Callithrix jacchus: one gene and its partners. The protein of the gene in region 2 interacts with the protein of the main gene of each other region in a pairwise test. Links are inferred from orthologs where the notes say so. Each region holds a gene or a part of one and is shown on either strand. Other genes may lie near its edges.

The links.
Region 1: the proteins of CCDC116 (region 2) and MTUS2 interact in binary tests that used the Homo sapiens proteins (3 or more experiments, as listed by UniProt). The two-hybrid records come from large-scale screens. The link is inferred for Callithrix jacchus from reciprocal best matches to the Homo sapiens genes CCDC116 and MTUS2.
Region 3: the proteins of CCDC116 (region 2) and BEX3 interact in binary tests that used the Homo sapiens proteins (3 or more experiments, as listed by UniProt). The two-hybrid records come from large-scale screens. The link is inferred for Callithrix jacchus from reciprocal best matches to the Homo sapiens genes CCDC116 and BEX3.

What each region holds. Positions count from the first base shown.
Region 1 is NC_133506.1:148,710,539-148,714,183, reverse strand, and holds the end of MTUS2 (microtubule-associated tumor suppressor candidate 2), read right to left. Parts: intron 3,116-3,645; coding exon 2,902-3,115; 3' UTR 193-2,901; downstream 1-192. UniProt on the Homo sapiens protein: Binds microtubules. Together with MAPRE1 may target the microtubule depolymerase KIF2C to the plus-end of microtubules. May regulate the dynamics of microtubules at their growing distal tip.
Region 2 is NC_133502.1:193,586,384-193,590,818, reverse strand, and holds the start of CCDC116 (coiled-coil domain-containing protein 116), read right to left. Parts: upstream 2,880-4,435; 5' UTR 1-2,879. Other genes in the region: UBE2L3 (ubiquitin-conjugating enzyme E2 L3), read right to left, coding at 2,880-3,034.
Region 3 is NC_133524.1:99,447,150-99,450,800, reverse strand, and holds BEX3 (protein BEX3), read right to left. Parts: upstream 2,093-3,651; 5' UTR 2,017-2,092; intron 1,615-2,016; 5' UTR 1,536-1,614; intron 1,182-1,535; 5' UTR 1,153-1,181; coding exon 817-1,152; 3' UTR 569-816; downstream 1-568. UniProt on the Homo sapiens protein: May be a signaling adapter molecule involved in NGFR/p75NTR-mediated apoptosis induced by NGF. Plays a role in zinc-triggered neuronal death.

The DNA of each region.
Region 1 (3,645 bases), on a different chromosome or scaffold from region 2:
TGGGTGCAGGGACCTGGGACCTGCTGAGTCTGGGAAAGGGGAGCTCCAGATTTCTTTCATGGACGAGCACTCGACCCTGGCACATACAAAAAAGGAGTCCAGCCTGCAAACACCCCCACTTGCCTCCCTGCCTGGAATCCCCAGCATGAGAGGGACAGGTCTCCAGTTACATCAAGCAGGTATCACAGAAAGTCCCTCGAGTTTACTTTAATAGGCTTTAGAGTTAAACACAAATATGCAACACAAACCATAGGGGCAGGAAAAAAGATGTTGTGACCCCATTCATTCAACTAATCACGGTTGGGGCCGCCCCCATCCCCACCTGTTCTGACATTCGACCAGAACCTTGTCCCAGCATGTGGTGGCCAGGGGCAGGGGTGGGGGCAGGCCGCCCACGCATCTCCAAACGCCACGAAGAGACCGGTGGTATCTGGTGGGTCTGTCTGAGGCAGGTGCGGAGGCTGCAGCATCCAAACGTGGAAACGTCACTCCAGCCTGGAAGGGGACAGAGGCGGATGCCATGTGGAGAGAAATCCTAATCCTGATGGCGTGGAGGGATGGAAGAATCGAGGAGGAGGCATAGCAGCTGCCACCCCATGGCTCAGATGAAGGGCCATACATGATGGGTGTCCGTGACAAAAAAAACAAAACAAAACACAAAAACAAACGAAAATGAAGCCAGGGCCATGTGGAAATTAGCCCAAGTACCCAAGGTCAGGGCGGATTAGGGCAAAGCTCTCAGCAAAGTCCACCTAATGAGGAATTACTTAGTGCTAACAATGCTACAACTCCGACCACAGCAGCCTAACACACTGTACCACGTCCTAGCATCACACGGAAGTCGGTATTGCTGTGTAACTGCATTTAGCAGGTGCGGCTATGTAAGCAGTTCCTAATTCGGACAGCTAAGCTGTAACCGAATTTGTGTTTGCAGGTTGTGGCTGCTACAAGAATAAATAATTGTGTACTTAGTCAATGTGGCATGATCTACTCTAATGGAATGCCCAACTCAATATCACAGTATCATGCAGAGCCACTAAAGCAGAGAAATGGTGCTTCCATGTGGATTTACTGTGTATGTCCCCAGAAGGAACAAGACCCTTGGAGGCTTGCTGGAGATGTACCTGAGGCCCGGGAGCCCAGCTTGGACTCATGCTAGGGCCAGGGACCATGTCTGTCTTTGTGCTGGCCACACATGTGCCGAGTAGGCGTGCCCTGGACAAGCCGACCTCATCCTCGGGCTGTTTCTTCCCTGCTCCATGGCTCCAGCCCCTGTAGGACCCTCTCATGGTTCTTCTCATCTTGGACATGCTCAAAGACAGGCCTGTGCTCAGGATAATTCTGGGGGGCCTCAGAGAGATAGTGCAGGGTCTTTGTCATACACAAGGAAACAAGGGCATCATCATCATCACCATATGTGTTAAAACTACTTCCTTTTGTGTATCATGCTCCTAATCTTCCACACCACTACATGAGTACTGTTTACATCCTAATTCTACCATTTTAGAGACAGGTGCCAGTCCAGGATGTGGTGCCGCCTGGCTGGCTGCTTCACTGCGCTCCTCTGTCTGGGAGAACCTTCTGGGTCTAAGATGGCAGCACAGTCAGCGGTAGCATTGCCTGATCACATAGAAGGAAGTGCAAGCGGGTTTCTGGGTGGTGGTGTGATGATCTAGCACAGCTCAGAACTGGTCCCCCGGGACAGAAAATGGTGTTTTTCCCAGACGCCCCTGCTAGAACCCCTGAGCCACCTCAATGTGCAGTGAAGGGGTTGAGCTGTAGAACCAAATTGAAAAGGGGACTGCTATGAAGTGGGGGCCTGAGGGTCATATTTCAACAAGTTGATCATTTACAGCATTGCATCAGAGCGAACCACATGGAAAGCTGGCGTGACGGTCCCACTCTGTGCCTGGTCAAAATACAGACCCTAGCAGCAATTTCCTTCATGAGGATGGAGCGTGAACGGGCGCAGTCATCTCCAAGGCCATCCTCACTCTCACTCAAACGTCATGCTCTGCCATGTTTTCCCAGGGGTGCAACAGTAGCTTAATGACCGAGTCTGAGATGCCATTTAGGAAAAAAGCAAAACTTGTTTACAAGACTATTGGAGATGAGTCACTGTCATAAGTCACATCTGAAAAACTGCTAATCCCCCTTAGGGTTTCCCACGGCTCTCCCTTATCCACGCATGGCAGGCGTATTAATAATTAAAACTTGCGAATGGAAGAATGGTGACCTCACATCACGTTGACTAAGAAGCTGATTGTTCCAAAGGCAGTTACCATTCACAAATCGCTGGTGTTCGTGTAAAGAGAGTACCACTTGGTGGTGAGTTGAAAGGCGCTTCTTCTCTGTATCCTTTTTTTTTTCCTTTTTCTATTTTGGGTAGAAATATTCCTGGGAAGCTAGATAGAAATGCATTTTCATTTCCCAATAATTCTTAGGCACAAGTTAGAAAACTGCTGACCTTCACTAAAATATGTCAGCACTTCATAAAAAATGCAATTCGGAACCGCCGCATGTGTATATATGTGTATCTAAATATACACACATACCGGTGCAGTACACAAAGATTATTCAATGTATATTGAAAACTGAGCTTTTGGTAACTAACCTGAAATACTGCAGTGAAAGTTCATTGCTCAAGAACAATTGCAAGTGTCTTTCTTTTGGCTCTAACTATGGTAAAACGTTTGCACATCAGACTTTACCGTTTACACGTTCCTAAGTGCTGACACCAGGGCAGTCTTACACGGGGATCAGAGGAGGACGCGCCTTGGATGCATTTGCAGCTACTGAAGCATGCGTGCAGGGCCAGCTCCGGCAGCACCGGGTCAGTGCTCCCTCAGGGTGGAGACAGGAGGGCGAGAAGCCGGAGCTCCCGCAGGCCGCGTGGTGGCGTCATCTGGGAGTCATGCTGACTCTGGCCGGAGAGGAGGGCCCCGAGGAGGAGCCGCGGTAAACGGGAGATGTGGGCGAGAGTTTAATGGGGCTGGTTGGGTCTCCGGTTTGGAGCTTCCAAAGCAGCTCTTCGTTGGTTCGGCTCAATCTCTTCTTCTCCTGGGTTTCCTTCTCAACATATTCCTGGAGGTTAGCATTTTCCTCCGACAGTTGTCTGCATGGGCACAACGACAATCAATCAAGTAGCAATCATGTTGGTGGACACTGAACCTGAGGTCGGGACAATGAGTGCAGGGCAAGGAGAGGAGGCTGTGATGCCCGCAAGGAGAACGGGGACCAGGGCGGCCCCGTGACCAAGAACACTGATTGAATCATGATTTCCACTTGGCCCAATGACACTTCTGTTCCCAGAGGCTCTCTGGCCAACACCCATCATCTCACAGGCCCTCTGCCCGGTCAGGGGAGGCACTGCTCTGTCTATCCACTGGAAAGAGCAAAGGTCCAGTGACTGAACAGAGGGAAGTGGAGAGCTGGAGTGGGTATGCTGCCAGGAGGCCCCAAGAGGACAGTCAGCTGCAGAGGTGGCAATTGACAATGACAACAGCACAAGGGCAGAGACAAGCTGCCAGCCTTCCTGAGCCTGCCAGGAAACTGGGGATGCCTTCTCCTGGCCTCCCTGCCCCAGGCTTGCGCCTCCAGGACAGCAGGCATCCTCCCTTGCTAGAAATGCTGCTCTGTGGGTCT
Region 2 (4,435 bases):
AGCACCACTGTTGCAGCGCCCTGGCAGTGGGCTGTACTGGAGACTCATAGTGTTTCTGGCTGGCACCATTCATGGAAATGGCCCAGCCCTACCCTCAGGCACACCCTTATTAATTCTGTGACCTCTTGGGATCCCAGGTTTGCTTCTTCTCAACATGGATTATAACACTCCCAGGGGGCTTCAGGATGACCCACGAATGGAAATGCTGCACCCATGGATGGCAGTCCCTCTCCCCTCACAAGACACCCAAGAGCACCCTCTGCAGACCCCAACTGTCCAGACTCCCTGGCTTTTCTCATTGATTATACCTCATCTCCTTCCCTTTAGGGAGGCAGGAACACCTCTAGGTACCTCTTCTGGAGAGGCTGGGAATGGGTAGAGAGATCAACAGTCCCAGGACCTGGCCCTAGCCAGCCCTCCCATCTCCCATCTCCAAGAGCATAGGCCCCTGCCACTGCCCACTCCCAGGAAGGAAGAAACCCACACGACTAACCAGTGTCTGAGAGCATTTTTATTAAGGGCAGCAGAACGGGATCACAGCATCTTAGACAGCCTATTCTCTGCCGTGGTGGGGAGTAGGGAGCAGAGGGAAGGACCCGGCACACTTCAAGGAACCAGGCGGGTGTGAATTCCTGAGTGAGCTCGGGGCAGCGGTGGGTGGCTGCTCCACAGCTCGCCCCTCCAGAGGACCCAGCTTTTTGGTTTTGGAGCAGCCAGGGCTGTTCACCAGCTTGCTCAGAGCCTACCCTGAGGGCACAGCTGGCAGGAGGAAGCCCCCCAGGCCCGAGGAAGAGACACCCACTGGCTCAAAAGCCAGGCCTCTGCTAATGGGGCCAACCCTGGGGTGCCAGTGCCAGGGCTGAAGAGTCCCTGAGGGGCTGCCGGCACGCAGGTATCCACCCGTGGTGAGCAGAGTGAAGTGAGGGGCTGACAGGCAGGCAGAGCTACATTGGCAGAAATATGAAGCAATGGGACAGTTTCCAAGAATGGCAACATTTCTGGATCAAGAGAAGCAACAAGAACAAATGGTGGCTTGTTTGGATAGCTTCTGACAGAATTTGGCATTTTATTACAAATTGGAGTGTGAGTGAAATAAAATCCATCATCACTTTTCTGCTAATGAAGAGACAGATGTGGAAAAACCCAGTCCGGTGCCCTTGCCATCCTGGGCACACCGGAGTCTCCAGAAACCTGCCCTTGGCGTACCTAGGACAAAAGAAGCTGAGATCACGTACACACCGCAGGGGCCATGCGCCTGGACAACTGAACAATGTTAGGCCGCCTAACCTGCCCATCACTCCCCACTTCTGCACAGGCCAGACTAAGCTGTCTTACAGGCCTGTAGGCCCTGGAAAGATCTCAAATTATAGAATTAAAATTAAAACAAAAAGCAAAGATTAAGTCATCTTATTCACAGGATCTAGTCCCCCCCAAAAGCCACAAAGGGAAGCCGTCAGTAGCAGAAGTGGGGTTGGTGAGACACGGCATTTGGATCGTCGGCTTCCTTGGGGTGTCAGAACAACACAGATTCTCTACTAGTTTGGTGACAGTCCCGTATGCCTTGAAAAGACATTAATATTCAAATCTTTACAAGTTTATCTGATGATAAATTCTAAGGTCATTTTTATTTCTACAAAAAAAGGCAGTCAAAACAATATAAAACACATTGAAAGGATATTACTGAGTGAGCTTCACGTGGAGCTTGACTCTGCAAAGGCTGTGAGTCCAAAGGGAGAGGGAAGTCCATCTTGTTCCTGGGCTGGGCCGGCTGCTCTGGAGGAAGGGGCCAGAAGGGGCCCCGGCAACCCCAGACTGGTGCTTTAACTAGCTGAGTCCTGCCAATTCCAATCTTGCAAAGGGTCAAAGTGTGCCAAGGGAGGGCTGTGGCGGGGCCGCTGCACAGAGGAAGTGGAGAGCAAGCTCCGTGGCACATTCAGATGGAGCTCGGTGACAGATGAGCTGGGAATTTCAAACGGACATTCTGGCTGTAGCTTTGCCTGCAAGGACCAGCAGATCTTCTAAAATGGCTGCAGAGAGGAGTGCCAACCTGGGACCAGAGGAGTGCCAACCTGGGACCGCAGGAGCCCTCTGGCAAGATTCATCACACACAGTGTGCACAGCATCCTCCTGACTAGCAGGCCCCCCCTTTTAGGGCCACCACAGACCTGTGATTATACGGTTTCTCTGTGCAGGCCAGGCCAGAAGTCAGTCACACACTGACACAAGGGCTTGCCCGATTAACTGATGTTACTGTGGTAACATCAGCTGGAGTTTCACACAAGAACTGGGGAGAAGGACTGGATGAGGGGTGTAGCTGTTTGCTTATTTTTAAATTTTTAAAAAGGATATTATAAACTGGAATCAGAATTTAAACCAGCTCCCACACTGGGCAACAGTCCCACACATGTGAGAAAAAGCCACCAGGACCGCCAGGGCTGTCTCTTCTCCTTTGTGGAGGCGGTGGAGCCCGGGTCTGGGGAAGTAAGTAAGTGAAAAATAAACTGCCAGAAAGTGGGAGTGGCAAAGGTAGGGAAGAAGGGGTATACAATTTTTTTTTTATAAACCTTATGGGCTAAATGTAACTTGAAGATTTTGGATAAAATTGGACAAGAAAAGAAACACCATTGTTTTGAAGTAGATTGAAGCAGTGATTTTTAAAACAAAGAGAGCAGAACTAGAACATCTTAAATTTTTAATCCTTTCTTTACAGGTTACCTAGACCACTTTTGATTAAGAAAACTGTAGAAAGTTAGTAACTGCCACAAGCGAACGCCAGGCGGTGGCACGTGTCAATTTCCACAGAGTCCTGCTTTGCGGGGTGTCTGAATGCACTGCACGGGGTCTCTGCTCACACCTGCTGGAACCAATCGTGGCAGATTTTAGTCCACAGGTCGCTTTTCCCCATATTTCTTTGTAAACTCTTCAGCATTCTTACAGAATTTTTTACGGTCCTTAGAGTATTCTTCAGCTAGGTCAGCCCGAAGTGGGTGCTCGGGCTGGGGGTCATTCACCAGTGCTATGAGGGACTGGATTACTGCCAAGAGAAGGACAAGGCATGGGGGGTTAACACAGTCTCAGAAATGGCACAGGCAAGAGGCAGCTCATCCCAGGAACAAAACTGGCTTCACCACTGGTTTACGGCTAATTTGCTTTTTCAGCCAAAGCACCCTCTATTCATCCAGAATTCTGACCACCAGAACTCAACTTATCTTTCCTCTGTGATTAGGAGAAACTGATGGACAACAAACAGCTAACACTACAGTGTATAACTGTTCACAGTGATGTGTTTCCACCTCCAGGAAGCTTTCTTGACCTAATACCTGGGGAGCTCTTAGCCCTCAGTCACTCCCAGCCCTTTTTTTGGCTGGGGTAGGGGAGGGGGGAAGAGGAAAGGAAGGAGCGGGGAGAGACAGGGTGTCACTCTGTCACCCAGGCTGGAGTGCAGTGGCACAATCTTGGCTCACTGCAGCCCTGACCTCCTGGGTTGACCTCAAGCAATCCTCTGGCCTCAGCCCTCTGAGTGGCTGGGACTACAGGTGCGCACCACCATGCCTGGCTAATCCAGCCCTCTTGTCTGCTCTGGAGATAGGAGGCCTAGTATTGAACCGCTCACTCTCACACATGCACGCAGGGTCACTTTCTTCAGGGCAGGACTAGGTAGAACTTCCCTGCATCAGTCCAGCACCATGCTCACCTCAGGGAAGTTTCCATAAAGGTGACTGAGTAGGCACCAGAAAGAAGGGTATGTGGCGGTGTTTCACTTGTCAGTGTGCAACGACCAACTGGAAGACCCTTAGGAGTTTCTGAACCCTCCAGAAAGAGTAACTGGGGCCAGCCAATGGGAAGCTGACAACCGCCATCATATCACACTGTCAAGACCACAGGCAGACATAACACCGATGGCTCTGACGGGTGGTGCCACAGCCCAGACGTGCCCTGGGATGGAAGGATAGTGGGGAATCAGAAGCAGCTGCTGCTTCTTGCATACTTGCCTCCTCACATACTTGCCACAGTTGCTCCCTGACCCCATCAGGACTGGCAACCCCAGAATGTTTCTTCTCACTGTAGAACAGTGCCCCTCTTCTCCAAACTGCTGATGCCACAAATTCCTTCCTCTTTTTTTCTAGACAGTCTTGCTGTCACTCAGGTTGGAGCACAGTGGCTCATATATTTTTCTTCACCGTACCCTCAAACTCCTAGGTATAAGCGATTATCCTGCCTCAGCTTCCTGAGTAGCTAAGACTCACAAGCACATGCCATCACACCCAGCTAATTTTTTTTTTTTTTTTTTTTTTTTGAGAGAGTCTCACTCTGTCACCTAGGCACAGTGGTGCAATCACAGCTCACTGCAGTCTTGATCTCCTGGGCTCAAGCAATTCTCCCATCTTGGCCTTACTGAGGGCTCATATTGTTCACCCAGCATTACAAGAAATGG
Region 3 (3,651 bases), on a different chromosome or scaffold from region 2:
ATTATTTCAGTTAAGAGTGAAAGATAAAGTTTATTCTTCAAATTTGTTGAGGCAGTATTGTTATGTATCTGGACTACATTCATAATCCATTCATAATCTCATTTAAAAATAATTTTCATTGCTTCTCAAACTCCAGATAATAAAAGAAAAAAAGTGTCACATACCTTTTTTTTTTTTTTTTTGAGACAGAGTCTTGCTCTGTCGCCCAGGCTGGAGTGCAGTGGCACAGTCTCAGCTCAGGCTCACTGCAACCTCCGCCTCCTGAGTTCAAGCATTTCTCCTGCCTCAGCCTCTTAAGTAGCTGGGACTAAAAGCGTGGGCTACCTCGCCCAACTAATTTTTTGTATTTTTTTTTAGTAGAGATGGGGTTTCACTGTGTTAACCAGGATTGTCTTGATCTGCTGACCCAGTGATCCGACCCTTGGCCTCCCAAATTGCTGGGATTACAATTACCATAGAAAAATATGCCCCAATTAACACTCTGGTGTATTTAATCTCAGATTTTTTTTTTAGTTCATCTGTTATATGTAAGGATACATTTTTAATGAGACAATACTAAATGTATAGATTGTTTTTTAAATTGCTTTATTAACTTTAAATTTTTCCATGCACATGGGTGAAACTCTACTGCTGACAGAAACTTAGACTGAGTGCAAAGGCAATCTCCAATTAGAAGCTGGCAATACAAGACCCACTTGACACATGGAAATAACATAGGGTTCACAGCAAACGGATCAGTAAAGGCATATTAGGAAAATGCAAGGAAAAGGAAAACAGCGAGAATCACAGTATTAATCTCATGATAAATGGCAGGAATCAAGGCATAAGGCAAAATTCATCATGATGGTCGTGGTGATTCGAGAGCTCCCCCATAAGGATACGCAGACAATTCCTCAACTGCAGCTCCCTAAGTTTTCTCCTGATTTCTCTCATCTCCTCCATGAATATTTCCATATCATCTCCATCTCCACCCATCCCATCATTGACCTGCCTATTGGGTATGGCCCATCGAAAATTAGGGGCAAGTCGGCGAGCCTGTGCCCGTCGATTTCCTGCAGGCTGGTGGCCTTCACCTCCTCCCAAAGGGCGGTCTTCCTCTCCATTCTGCATGGGCTGCTCCATCTCTTCGTTTTCCTGGTGAATATTTGCCATGATGAGATTTTTTTTTTCTGGTTGTTTTTCTTTGAACACAAGTAAGACAAAGGCAAGGAGAGAGACTGAATGCTTGGTACACTGACCAGCAGGATTCAGAGCCCTGATATCAAAGGATTTAATTTCATATTTTCCCACCTTAGAAGTTCCGTGCGTCCTCTAGGGGGCCTCCAATTAGAGCCCCTCCCTCCAGCTTTCTCCCCTTACCTCCCTTCCCCCAAACCCACCATTTTTCCTTTCCCAAGATTCTTTCTCAGAGCTTCGCAGGCAGCAAAATGGAGGACGGGTGTAGGAGTGGGGGGATGGGGTGGAGAGGGCTGGGGTCTCAGACTGGGCTTTCCTCACGCTCGGACCCCCGCACCACCACCGTCCCTCGCACCGACCTGGGCCTATCCTTGCGGTCTCCTCCTCCTCCGGATTCTCGCCCCGAGGTGCGCCGCCGGGACACTTAGCCTCGCAGACCTGCAGATGGGCAGGGGTGGGGGGATGGGGGCTCCTGCAGCGGAACGCTAGCAAGGATTATCCACCACCCAGCTCCTTCCCCGCCCCGGGCCCGGGCTTTCCTTGCGGCCAGCGCCCCGCGTCCCGCACTCCGCGCCCCCACCCTCAGCCGCCCCACCCCCCCGCGGTGTTCAACGTTTTCCTGCAGGAACTCGGGGGTGGTTTTCCCTCGCTCTTGGTTGCTCTGCTGCCCCTAGGACCCCAGCCGCTCCAGCTTGCCCACCCCAGGTGGCCTCTATGTTCCCAAGAATGTTGGGGTGTGGAGAAAACTGGCGGGGACCCCCTGCGCTGTTCTGCGCCCGTCGCGGGGGTCCGTGAGCCGCTGCCGGCCAGGCCGGGGTGCACGGACCCCGGGGATCTTACCTGCTCCGCTTTTCCCCGGGCCGGATGCCAGCCCGCCGAGCGCAGGGCAGCGGGGAGCTGGTAGCCAGACGCGAGTGACGACTGCACCGAAGGCTGCGTAGCTCTGCAGCTCTGGGTCACGTGAGGGCCGCGCGTCACCGCTGAGCTCGCCCCTCAACTTGGGCGGCCAGTGCAGCAGGATCTCCCCCCTTTCCCCCACCCCCGCCGCCAAATGCCCGCGCAAAAAGCAGCCTCCCTACTCCCGTCTGCGTGAGGTGCCCCAGAGCGCACCGCTCTGTCACTCTTCTGTCCTCTCCAATCTGAGGGCCCACAAGTGGCATCACTGCTCTGCGGTTGGAGTTTGCTCTCCTCTGGTTACCAGGGAGAGTCTGCACTATCCTCCACCACCGCCTCCTCTCACTCTAGGCCTTGGCTTTGGCCTTTTCTACTTTCTCTTCCCTTCTACCTGTCACTTTGCGCTGCATTCCCACCCCTACCCCTTGCATGTGCACAGTCACCAATGCCCATGTAGCCCCTGAAGTCCTACCCTTCTGGAAAATTTAGAGTGAGGGCAAAGGTGGGAAGGCAGGACGGCACTTGTCAGAAAGAGGGGCAAGGAAGTGGAGTGGGCAGTATCTATTTCTTTTTGTTTCCTTTTCTTTAAAAATCTGCATGCTTCAGAAAATTATAAATTCTAACTTTTCAATTTTGAAGGAAATGCTGGCCGGTGGCCATGGCGCACCTGCAATCCCAGCACTTTGGGAGGCCGAGGTGGGCGGATCGGTTGAGGCCAGGAGTTCGAGACCAGCCTGGCCAACATGGTGAGACCCCTGTCTCTACTAAAAATACAAAAATTAGCCGGGTGTGGTGGCGCGCGCATGTAATCCCAGCTGCTCAGGAGGCTGAGGCAGGAGAATCACTTGAACCCTGGAGGGAGAGGTTGCAGTGATCTGGGATTGCATCACTGCACTCCAGCTTGGGTGACAGATCCTGTCAAAAAAAAGGAAATGCTTTATCCTACAGAATGAAATCTTTCACTGTTTATGTTGACCTGTACCACACAAAATATTTTCTCTGAGCTCCACACACATCAAACCATTACTTTTGATACCTACTAGCTCATTTAAAATTTTATCTTCATAAAAAGTAGGCACTCTTTCTGAACACAATTGGTGTTTTCAAAATGATCTGTAAAGTAAATTTTCAGGGAGATGTCCAGTCCTCAGATCTTCACCATTTCATGTAACTTTGATGTTTTTGATACCACAGTCATCAGAGAAAGGGAGTCTTTTATTCTCTGCTTTCCTTTCTAAACCTTTCAAACCATCCCTACAAATATCTTCTTAGAATGAAATCAGAAGTTAAGTACATATTATTCAGAAATTAGTTTCAAAGCCATCTACCCTTTTCTGCGAATGTTTCAAAATATATTAGGAATAAGCAGGGAATGTGTGAAACAACAAGTTGAGACTGAACCTCATCCTGAGTGCAAATGTTCCTTTCTCCAACTTGAAATCATTTAAAAAAATTATCACAGCTAGAAAATGAGATGTCTTTAGGAAAGTGGCATTGTTATAAAAAATATTTGGTATCTGTTGTTTATAATAAGGAACCAAAAGCATTAAATGCAGCACTGAGACAGGAAAGGTCAGACAA